Macaca fascicularis: one gene and its partners. The protein of the gene in region 3 interacts with the protein of the main gene of each other region in a biochemical or structural test. Links are inferred from orthologs where the notes say so. Each region holds a gene or a part of one and is shown on either strand. Other genes may lie near its edges. The genes, in order: STAT1, MCMBP and MCM5.

Region 1 (3,651 bases), on a different chromosome or scaffold from region 3:
GTCCCATGTTCTGCATTCTAAAGATAGTGTCACGTCTGTCATTCTTTCTAGTCCTAACTTTGTTCTCATTTGTAAATGAAGATAGCAACTTTGACCATTACCATGGTGTTTAATAAGATGATTATTTGTTTTATAGCAATTGAAAGAACAGAAAAATGCTGGCACCAGAACGAATGAGGTGAGAGTCTCTTTATGTTGTGAATGGGCCCAAATCAGGCAGGTCTGTCTAGCAAGGGCAGGTCAGTTGGTGGCTGGGGACACCTCACAGAGGAGTTCAGACCCAGCAGGGAAGAGCAGCAAGTGAGCTGGGTACTTGGTATATCTGTGACAACAGTAAAAACACCACATTTGTACTTTACTATTGTCAAACGATTTTGCACACAAATTCATTGGACACTCAGTGGAGTAGCTATTGTGGGCTTTTGTATTCTTCGCATCTTACGGGTGAAGAAATTGAGTCACAGGAAGTTTGCAGGATTTAGCTAAGGGTGCACAGAGAGTTACTGTCAGAGTTGGAATGAGAGGCCACTTTGATGACTGCCTTGCTGTGTGCCAAGAGGGCTTTTTGGCCGTGGCATCCCCTACCAGAAGCATTGCCTTTGCATCAGTTTCCTTCCTACAACGTGATCCTTAAGAAGTTGGGTTTGTGATGCATTCAGAAATGAACTATGGACAAAGGATGAAATATCTGGAGTTGTTTTGGTTTAGAACACTTTCGTCCTTTATGCACACACAGCGTGCAGTCCTTCCACACCAGGACCAGTGGAGGTCACATGGAGCAGCGGGACACACACAGGCCCAGGCAGTGCAAAGATGCCTTCTAGCCCTGGTGTGCACCTGAACTGTTTTGACCTCCCTGCGTCTAGCAGTTGTACCTCTCTAGTTCTAAGTTGTGAGGTTCTCATGAGGTAATGTCTATGAAGGCACTTTGAAATCTATCCATTTCTACCAAAACCAAAGCACCTTGTGACCTACCAAGTTGATGTGAGTCAGCCTTTCTGGTAGGCAGTAGACAATCCCAAGTGTGCACTTACTCCCAGCCCTCTCACCTCCTCCCCACCCATCTGCATTGAGATGTGCAGCCACACTGGGCAGGCAGACAGAGCTGAGGGTTGAGAAGCCTTAGGTCACAAAGCCATTAGTTGCTCTTTCCCCATTGACATTTATTGCTCTGAATCTATAATCCTTGCCATAACTTCAGGCACTTATCTTTCAGAGCACACTGATACTCAGAATCATTAAATCTGGAAGGGATTCAATATTGAGTCTTTGGACTTGCTGCTGGTTGGGTCCAGGATCTCTGTGGCCTGTTGCAATGTTAATTGGGCTTTTGAAAGTTTCAGGATCTGTGAATAAGTGGTTATATTCTTTTCTTCTTTCCTTTTCTCTTCCAAGGGTCCTCTCATCGTTACTGAAGAGCTTCACTCCCTTAGTTTTGAAACCCAGTTGTGCCAGCCTGGTTTGGTAATTGACCTCGAGGTAAGACTTTTATTTTTATGGTCCTGAGGTGGAAAACTTCATTATTTTTACTTTTAATTGTTACGTGTATTTTTATTTCTCAGTTTTTGTTTTAGAGATATTTACCTAATTGTTTTAAAAATGATATTTTTCAGCTACTACTACCTTAACCTTAATTTATGGTCCAGAAAGCTAGAGAATTGAATTAACCTTCAAATTCTATAACTTAAATGTTCCAGTTGAGATAGCTGATGTTAATTTTTTTTACAGTAAGCATTAGGACTTATTTATTTTCCTCTGCCCTCCCTCCACATTTTGTGTTTTCATTGTGACAATTTTCATCTTCTCATATTGCATACCCCTTAATTAGTTATTGTAGCTATTATTATTTTTAGGGACTTATTTCTTAACTGAAAGATATATCAAAGACAAATTAAACTGGACAAAAGAACAGAACTTAACATTTCTCATTTTCAAGTATTAAATATGTACAAATTTACAAATAATCCCCTGCTTTTAGTTGAGGCTAAGCAGTTATCTGAAGGTGACATTTCTGTGATTCAGATGATTTCAAGGTCTTTGTCATCCTTTAGACGACCTCTCTGCCCGTTGTGGTGATCTCCAACGTCAGCCAGCTCCCGAGTGGTTGGGCCTCCATCCTTTGGTACAACATGCTGGTGGCGGAACCCAGGGTATGGAAAATACATTTGCTTTGGTCCCAGGGTTAAGCAGACCCCATGCTCTCGCTGCTGCATCTCTGAAATAGCCCCAATGGCCAGTTGTTGAGGGAGAAGTGACAAAGCTCCTGTGGTATTTCTAAGGCTTTTGAGTAAATCTGGGAATGTGAAGCATGGATATGTATTTGAAATGAGAATTATGATTTTTCTGCCATGTGAGTAAGCTAGGGCACTCAGTGATTCCATACCACTTCATCATTATTATTTTTAAAATGTGTACATCTACTAAACAAGCATGCTCCATTCTTAAGAGTGTGGATACTCACTGTTAATTAATTATAGTCATTATCATTATTCAAAGTAGTTATGTTTTTTGAAGTTACCAGGAACACTTAATTAGCAAATAATGAATTGTTGCTCCTAAGGGAACTACAAGGCTAGGTTCCTTCAAGCCTCTGGTCACAACATTTTTGTCACCCCATCAATGCATAACATTGTTTATGTGTGTTTCTGTTTAAAGACACCTTATCTAATATACTTGCTGAGGCATTAACATTACACCTATAGTCAGGATTACTGGGTAACTCACGCCTGAGTGAAGCTTGCCTCACACATGTATTTTCTCCATAAGGCACATCCCAGCATTCCCGTGCTTAGGAACAGTATACCACACTGTGGCGCTATGCTTGGGCACCATTTTAAACAGTGATCACCAACAGCAATCACAAAATGCAAAAACATGGCACTAAATAGGCTTCAAAAAGGACACGTTTTTCTTATGAGAGCTGAAACAGGAAGCGAGTGTCATTTTGTTTGGCTTCAGTTGGAAACATAAGTGTTAAAAGACTCAAATTCTTTGCTGCTGTGTGCATGGGTGTGTCTTCAGATGACCCCAAAGACGTCATGTGCTTAGATTTTGGAGTTACAAGTAAATTTTAGTGAGTAAACAAGTTCACAAATGTGCATCTGTAAATAGTGAAAATTGACTGTATTTCTCTTCCCCTACTGTGAAAGCACCTGTGTGTCACATAAACTAGAATTGAACTTTGGGATGGACATATGTTTTAGTGCCACACTTGTGACTGGTGTCTCTGTAGTAACCCTTCGATTTTGGGTGTTTTCTCTCTAGAATCTGTCCTTCTTCCTGAATCCACCATGTGCACGTTGGGCTCAGCTTTCAGAAGTGCTGAGTTGGCAGTTTTCCTCTGTCACCAAAAGAGGTCTCAATGTGGACCAGCTGAACATGTTGGGAGAGAAGCTTCTTGGTATATGCATATTAACTTGTTACGTTTATAAGAATTGAAATTCATAAAAATACCTCTCTAATTGCTCTTTTCCCCTCTGCTATTTTGTTAAAGGTAAAAAAGTATTAAAATCTGTTAGCTTTTCAAGCTATAGTTTATTATAGCTAAGTGAGAATCATATATCACCTTAGAAAGAAATATGGACCTGATAACATTTAAATGAATCCTTTCCTCATTGTCTCATATTAAGATTTCTGGGATGGATTCCCAAG
Region 2 (3,651 bases), on a different chromosome or scaffold from region 3:
ACAATGTTGGGTTCTTTGTGTAGTTGTATATAACCTAAAATTTTTCATTCAGTGAGTGTAAGGAACGGTAGACACAGGGTCTCACTATGTTGCCCAGCTGATCTTGAATTCCTGGGCTCAAGTGATCCTCCTGCCTTGGCCTCCCACAGTGCTGGGATTATAGGTGTGAGCCACTGCACCTGCCCCAAATAGCTTTTTAAAAAACTGAAATGGGAAGAAGCTGATCTAACAGATTTTTTTTTTTTTTGGAGACAGACTCTTGCCCTGTTGCCCAGGCTGGAGTTCAGTGGCATAATCTCGGCTCACTGCAAGCTCCAACTCCCAGGTTCACGCCATTCTGCCTTAGCCTCCCGAGTAGCTGGGACTACAGGCGCCCGCCACCATGCCTGGCTAATTATTTTTTAACCTCCCATTGTAAAGTTTTTAAACGTTTTTCAGAGAATATCTGAAAAATAATCAAATGGTTTGCACTAACCTCAGTTATAGAATATATTATAAAATCATAAGAAGCAGATTGTTTACTAGTGCTCAAATGAAGACAATTAAGAATATACTGCTGGTGATCAGCTCAAGAGGTAAAGGTAGAAGAAAAAATGAGGTAGACTGGGCACGTTTAAGGCAAAGGGGAATATAAAATCTGTAAAATTCACTAGGCTGATCTATGTATGAAGGTAGTTTTAGTGTTTCCTTATTTTAGCCCTGTAAATACACCACTTAGAAATAACTGTGCTTGCTTGGGAACTATTTTATGTCTAGGTGCATACCAGATGCTAGGTATTAGATTTGTGGGGGGATCCCCTGGCCCCATAAAGTTCTACCTTGACCAAGAGTGTTGTAAGCCTACACACTTAGTGATGTTTAGCTTAGTAAATTGGACAGCGCCTCATACCCTTTATTAAAAGCGGTAGAAACTTCATGGCTTATCATTGGTGTCAGCAAAACTGATTTGTTGAGATGATTAAAGTCAAATGACTGAAAGTGTTTTCCTGCCTTCGTAGGTGTTCATAATGTAACTGCCCTGAGCAACCTCATAACGTGGCAGAAGGTGGATTATGACTTCAGCTACCATCAGATGGAATTCCCCTGCAATATCAACGTTCTCATTACTTCGGAGGGGAGGTCACTCCTCCCGGTACAATGAGTCATTTTTAAATGGAGGGAGGTTGACATGGGAAAAATACCTACGTTTTTGCTATTTCTTGGTACCGCTTATTAATAAGTTACATTTGTTGTAAAAAAAAACTGTGACTGCTGATCATTAAGGGAACTGAGTATTTTGCACTGCCATGGATGAAAACCTTACATCTGCCAAGCTCAGATATCAGCAAGTCATGAGACCAGCAAGGCTGTTGGCAGCAGAAACACCCACATCAAAGCATAGCAAGATTGCCTGATTTTAACCTCCAGACTTCTGTTCTTGCTGCCTTTGACCCATTGTTTTCTGCTAATCTTATGTGAAAAATATTTTAGAGTTCCTTTGAAAATGTCCTTGGTTACTTGGTAGTTATTTTCATGCTTTACAGTGAAATGCTCTGTTATGTCCTCAGAGCGGCTGGTAAAGAGCGCTTTTAATTCTAAGGAGGATGGGAAATGCTCCCAGTTGTCAAATGGTTTATAGTCTCTGTATAATAGTATTCACCTGTGATTGATGAGAAACAGTCTTTGATAAGAATGAAATGGCTCAAGGATATGTTCTCTGTGTGCAAGTGTGATAGGCCTTTTTAATTAGCTGCTTTTTAGAGGTTGGCTACATTTTTGTGTGCTTATTGATACCATTGAAGTAACCAAGAAAAAGCTAACTTTCATAATTATTTCTGAGGTAGTTATAAAGCATGTAAAGTAATACTAAAAATAGATTCTCACTGGGTGCAGTGGCTCACACCTGTAATCCTAACACTTTGGGAGGCCAAGGCAGGTGGATTGTGTGAGCCCAGAACTTTGAGGCCAGCCTGGACAATGTGACAAAACTTGTCTCTACAAAAAATTCAAAAATTAGCCAGGTGTGGTGGCATGCACCTGTGGTGCCACTACTAAGGAGGCTGAGGTGGGAGGATCGCTTGAGCCTGGGAGGCAGGTTGCAGTGAGCTGTGATCACACCACTGCACTCCAGCCTGGGCGACTGAGCAAAACTCTGTCTTGCACACATACAAAAAAAAAAATTATTCCCTCCCCCTAAATAATAAATGGTATTTTCTAATTCCTGTAGGGGCTGACAGGGATGATGCATCTTTCTTTAAAAATGTAGATTTAATTTAGGAACTCAGAAAATACAGTGTACTTCTTCTCTTTTCAGGCAGACTGCCAGATTCACTTACAGCCCCAGCTAATTCCACCAAACATGGAAGAATACATGAACAGCCTTCTCTCAGCGGTGCTGCCTTCCGTGCTGAACAAATTCCGCATTTATTTAACCCTTTTGAGATTCTTGGAATATAGCATATCTGATGAAATAACCAAGGTATGTCTAGGTTAAAATAAAGGATTTCCCTGTGTTGAATTGCAGTATGCAGCCAATTTACATTTACCATAATTACTGATGAGGTGATTTTGCTATTTGTTTTCTGTCATGTCTTTTTTTATTACTCTATTACTCCATTATTGTCTTTTTGTTTGAAATAGATATTTTCCAGTGTCCCATTTTAATCCCTTGAAGTTACTTTCTTAGTGGCTGCCCCAGGGGGATAAACTTAACATGTTAGTATAATCATCTATTAAGGATTAATGCCAGTTTGTTTAGTTATTTTTAATTTAAAAAAATTTGTGTGGCTAATGCTAGTTTAATTATAATATACAAAGACTTTGCCCCTTTATAATTCCGTCCTTCTCCTCTCCCTTGTGCTGCTGTCATACAGTTACCTCTCTATACATTGTATGTACATCAACACATTTAGAATTACTGCTTTTGCAGTTGTCTAATTTTAGAGAAAAAAGAAACAGAGAAGACTTCTGTACTATTTTTTCTATTTGCCTATGCAGTCACTTTTACCAGCAACCTTTATTTCCTCATGTGGGTTCATGTTACTGCCTAGTATCTTTTCATTTCACCTCGAAGAACTGCCTTTAGTGTTTCTTGCATGGCAGGTCTACTTGTGCAAAAATTTTTTTTTTTTTTTTTTGAGACAGGGTCTCGCTCTGTCACCCAGGCTAGAGTGCAGTGTTGTGATCGTGGCTCATTGCAGCCTCAACCCCCCCAGGCTCAAGCGATCCTCCCACTTCAGCCTCCTGAGTAGTTGGGACTACAGGCATGTGCCAGTGTGCCCAGCTAATTCTTTGATGTGTATGTGGAGATAGGGGTCTCCTTGTGTTGCCCAGGCTAGTCTCAGACTCCTGGGTTCAAGTGATCCTCTGTCCTTGGCCTCCCAAAATTCTGAGATTAGAGGTGTGAGTGACCACGCCCAGCCCTCTTTTAAGTTTTTGTTTATCTGGGAATGTCTTAATTTCTCCTTAAGGCTAGTTTTGCTGGATGTAGAATTCTTGGTTTATAGTCTGTCTCATCATTTCGAGTATGTGCTCCCGCCACTTTCTGGCCTCTTGTTTCTACTGAGAAGCCAGCTAGTTTCTGATGAGGATCCTTTGTACACACTGAGTCGTTTTTCTGTCACTGCTTTCAAGATTCTCTGGCTTTTGACAGTTTTGACTATGATGTGTCTG
Region 3 (3,651 bases):
TGCACGTGAGCGCACTGACACAGACACAGGCCGTGGAGGGCGAGATCGACCTGGCCAAGCTGAAGAAGTTTATTGCCTACTGCCGAGCGTGAGTCCTGGACGCAGGCCCACGGGGGTGAGGTTGCCCAGCTTCCCTGGGTGGGAGAACCCATTCCCCTGTCCTGCTCCTCCTCATGAAGAACAGCCCAGATGTTGCTGTTCTGAGGTCCTCAGCTCTACTGAATCTGCTCTGCTCCCTTCTCACCTTGCACTGCTCACTGGCTCTTGGCTTCAGTTTTTCCATCTCCACACCAAGCAGGTGGGATTAGATGGTCTTGAAGACCTCCTCGAGTCTGACATGCAGGGAGGCAGTGAAGTGTAGACATGGTAGACATGGGCTCTGGGTCATACCCGCCTTCACTGTGTGACTTTGGGCAAGTTGGTTGGCCTCTCTGAGCCTTGATTTCCCCAGGCCGATGTTTGCTAATAAGTGCTTGACATAGTCCTGCCCTGGGTAAATACTCAGTGAGTGGCAGCTACAACTTGATTGTTCTCACATTTTCAATAATAATAATTATATACATAGCACTGGCCAGTTGCAGTGACTCATGCTGTACTCCCAGCACTTTGGGAGGCCAAGGCAGGTGGATCACTTGAGGTCAGGAGTGTGAGACCAGCCTGGCCAACATGGCGAAACCCCGTGTCTACCAAAAATACAAAAATTAGCCGGGTGTGGTGGTATACACCTATAGTCCTAACTACTCGGGAGACTGAGGCAAGAGAATTGCTTGAACCCAGGAGGCAGAGGTTGCAGTGAGCTGAGGTCATGCCATTGCATTTCAGCCTGGGCAACAGAGTGAGATTCTGTCTCAAAAAAAATATATATATGTATGTGTACACACACACACACACACACTCACACGCTATTTTCTCTGTGCCAGGCATTCTGAACTATTATTCAGTACTTTCTATATGAATAAATTATAACCCTCCCCCAAAACCTACCTGGTTAGGTGTGCTATTATTCCCTTCCCTTTGTGGATGGGGAAGCTGAGGCAAAGGAAGTTAAGTAACTTGTCCAAGGTCACATGCCAGAGGTAGTGGAGCCAGGATGTGAACCCAGCTGCTTGCCTCCAGAGGCTGTGCTCTTGACCACAGTGCTTAGATTCTTGGCGTACAGTGCTTTGGTGATCTTTTGAAGAAGCTAAAACCCAGGGGTCGAGGGCTCTTTGAGTGCACTGCCAGTGGGGGCCTGGTAGATCCCTGATTCAGCACCTCTGACACAGTGAGTGGATAGTCCCTGGGTCTTCATCCAAGTCTGAGCTCTGTATGGCCCAGTCTTGAGAGGCTTGTGCCCACAGCTATGAGTCAGGGAGCCCTGGATGCTAATCTTCCCTCTGCACTAAGTCCCCAGGTAGCCTTGGGGAGTTCCCTCCCTCCCTCTGGGCCTCAGTCTCCATGTCCTTAGGATGGTTGAGCTAAGGCTTTCGGTATATCAGTGATTGTCATTTGACCTGGGGGCTAGAGGGGAGGGGATGGGGTAGGGTAGATGCTGATCAGACTTCCCCACACCTACCCTCCCAGGAAAGTCCGAGGTGCTCCCAGCCCCTGGACTACAGTCACTGCCAAGCCTCCTGTGGGTGTCATCAGCTTGTCGTGTCTTCAGATGTGTTGGGTGGAGGAGTTTGAGACTGCTGCAAAGCCCACCACCTAGTGGGCCTCCATGCCACTGTGATTGTGCCATTGTTAATTACATGTATGGGGGACCTTGTGGCAAGACACCACACAACGTCTAACAACGGGGAAGAGGTGGTTTTCACCCTGCACACGTGCCTGGCTTTTCTTCACCTGTTTTCTAAGAGAGGCACCCATATTTCTCCCCAGTGTTGATCTTTGTGGCAGCTGCCCATAGCCAGATTTCACTTAAATCTCTTCCGATTGTTGTCTTCCAGCCCATGTGAGTGGGCAGCTGTGGTGTGGTGGGAAGGTGCATGTCTGGAAGCCGGCAGAGGGCTGGGGGAAAGGGTAGGTGCCCTAAGAGTCCCTGCTGGCCTCACAGCAGCCTCTCCCTCCCGTCCTGCAGGAAGTGTGGCCCCCGGCTCTCAGCAGAAGCTGCAGAGAAACTGAAGAACCGCTACATCATCATGCGCAGCGGGGCCCGTCAGCATGAGAGGGACAGTGACCGCCGCTCCAGCATCCCCATCACTGTGCGGTGAGCAGGCGGGCAGGGCGGGGCCGGGGCAGGTGGGGCTTGCTTTACACGGCAGGGTGTGCCTGGCAACCAGGGGCAGTGTCCAGGTTTTTCACTTGGCACAGGCCCACAGTAGCTCTGGGCGGGAAGAGTCCCTTTGGAGCATAAGCTATGGCCTCCTTGATCTCATTGATCTGTTTTCCTTGATTTAAGGCTGGGCAAACCAGGACCCCTCTTGTCTGAATTTGGCCTGGCTTTTCTCCCATTGCAGGAAGCCTGAAGGGAGGGATGGACCCAGGCCTAGGAGTCAGGAGTCTTGGGTCGCAGCCTCTAGCCCACTGTGTGACTATAGGGAAATTTCATTGCTTCTCTGACCCTCAGTGTTTTTAGCTCCTAACTCTGTTCATTCTTGTGACTTAGTAGACAGTACAGTGGGTAAGAGTTGGGATTTACCTGGTTTGAATCCTGTCTCCAGCACTGACTGGTTGGAAATGGATTTGGCTATAAGTAATGGTAAATCCAAATAAAGTAGCTTAAAGAAATAGGAAGTTGATTTCTCTCTTCTGTAGCACTGTCTGGAGGAAGATGGTATGGGACTGGTGTGAGGACTTCTCAAGTTCCCCCTTACTCTTAGTCCAAGTTGGCTGCTGGAACTTCAGCCATCACTTCCAGGCAGCAGGAGAGGAAGGAAAGAGAGGTTCCCTTTTTAAGGGCACTTCATGAATTCCCACACAATGCTTGGGCTTACAACTTATTGGCCATAGTATGGTCACAAATACAACCTGGTACAAAAGATGTCTGGATGTGTCTTAGTGGATTGCTGTGTGCCAGTCTAAAAACTGGGTTTCCAAGCTAGTTGCAGTGGCCTACATTGTGATCCTAGCACTTTGGGAGGCTGAGGCAGGAGGATTGCTTGAGGCCAGGAGTTTGAGACCAGCCCAGGCAACATAGCAAGACTCCTGTTTCTACAACAAATAAAAAATTAGCCAGGCATTGTGGTGTGTGCCTGTAGACCCAGCTACTCAGGTGGCTGAGGCAGAAGGATCACTGGATCCCAGGAGTTCGAGGCTGCAGTGAGCTATGATCATGCCACTGCACTCCAGCCTGGACAACAGAGCGAGACCCTGTCTCAAAAAAAAATTGCAGTGCTATGACTAAGATCAAAAGGGAGATGGATTATAGGGACACCTACCAGTCTCCACCACAGTCTTAACACTTTGGGCAAGCACCTCCCTGGTAACAGGGTGGCTGGGGAGGAAGGGAATAGCAGACCGAGGCTACCCTGAGCGCGCTGTTGCCCCCACAGGCAGCTGGAGGCCATTGTGCGCATCGCGGAATCGCTCAGCAAGATGAAGCTGCAGCCCTTCGCCACAGAGGCAGATGTGGAGGAGGCCCTGCGGCTCTTCCAAGTGTCCACGTTGGATGCTGCCTTGTCTGGTACCCTGTCAGGTGAGCAGATGCAGGGGACATGGTCTCAGTTG

What was found.
Region 1: the proteins of MCM5 (region 3) and STAT1 form a complex in vitro, tested with the Homo sapiens proteins (2 studies listed by BioGRID). The link is inferred for Macaca fascicularis from reciprocal best matches to the Homo sapiens genes MCM5 and STAT1.
Region 2: the proteins of MCM5 (region 3) and MCMBP form a complex in vitro, tested with the Homo sapiens proteins (2 studies listed by BioGRID). The link is inferred for Macaca fascicularis from reciprocal best matches to the Homo sapiens genes MCM5 and MCMBP.

What each region holds. Positions count from the first base shown.
Region 1 is NC_088386.1:86,678,517-86,682,167, reverse strand, and holds part of STAT1 (signal transducer and activator of transcription 1-alpha/beta), read left to right. Parts: intron 1-136; coding exon 137-178; intron 179-1,395; coding exon 1,396-1,479; intron 1,480-2,051; coding exon 2,052-2,150; intron 2,151-3,264; coding exon 3,265-3,400; intron 3,401-3,651. UniProt on the Homo sapiens protein: Signal transducer and transcription activator that mediates cellular responses to interferons (IFNs), cytokine KITLG/SCF and other cytokines and other growth factors.
Region 2 is NC_088383.1:128,850,706-128,854,356, reverse strand, and holds part of MCMBP (mini-chromosome maintenance complex-binding protein), read left to right. Parts: intron 1-998; coding exon 999-1,132; intron 1,133-2,293; coding exon 2,294-2,458; intron 2,459-3,651. UniProt on the Homo sapiens protein: Associated component of the MCM complex that acts as a regulator of DNA replication.
Region 3 is NC_088384.1:16,247,825-16,251,475, reverse strand, and holds part of MCM5 (DNA replication licensing factor MCM5), read left to right. Parts: coding exon 1-88; intron 89-2,062; coding exon 2,063-2,191; intron 2,192-3,476; coding exon 3,477-3,619; intron 3,620-3,651. UniProt on the Homo sapiens protein: Acts as a component of the MCM2-7 complex (MCM complex) which is the replicative helicase essential for 'once per cell cycle' DNA replication initiation and elongation in eukaryotic cells.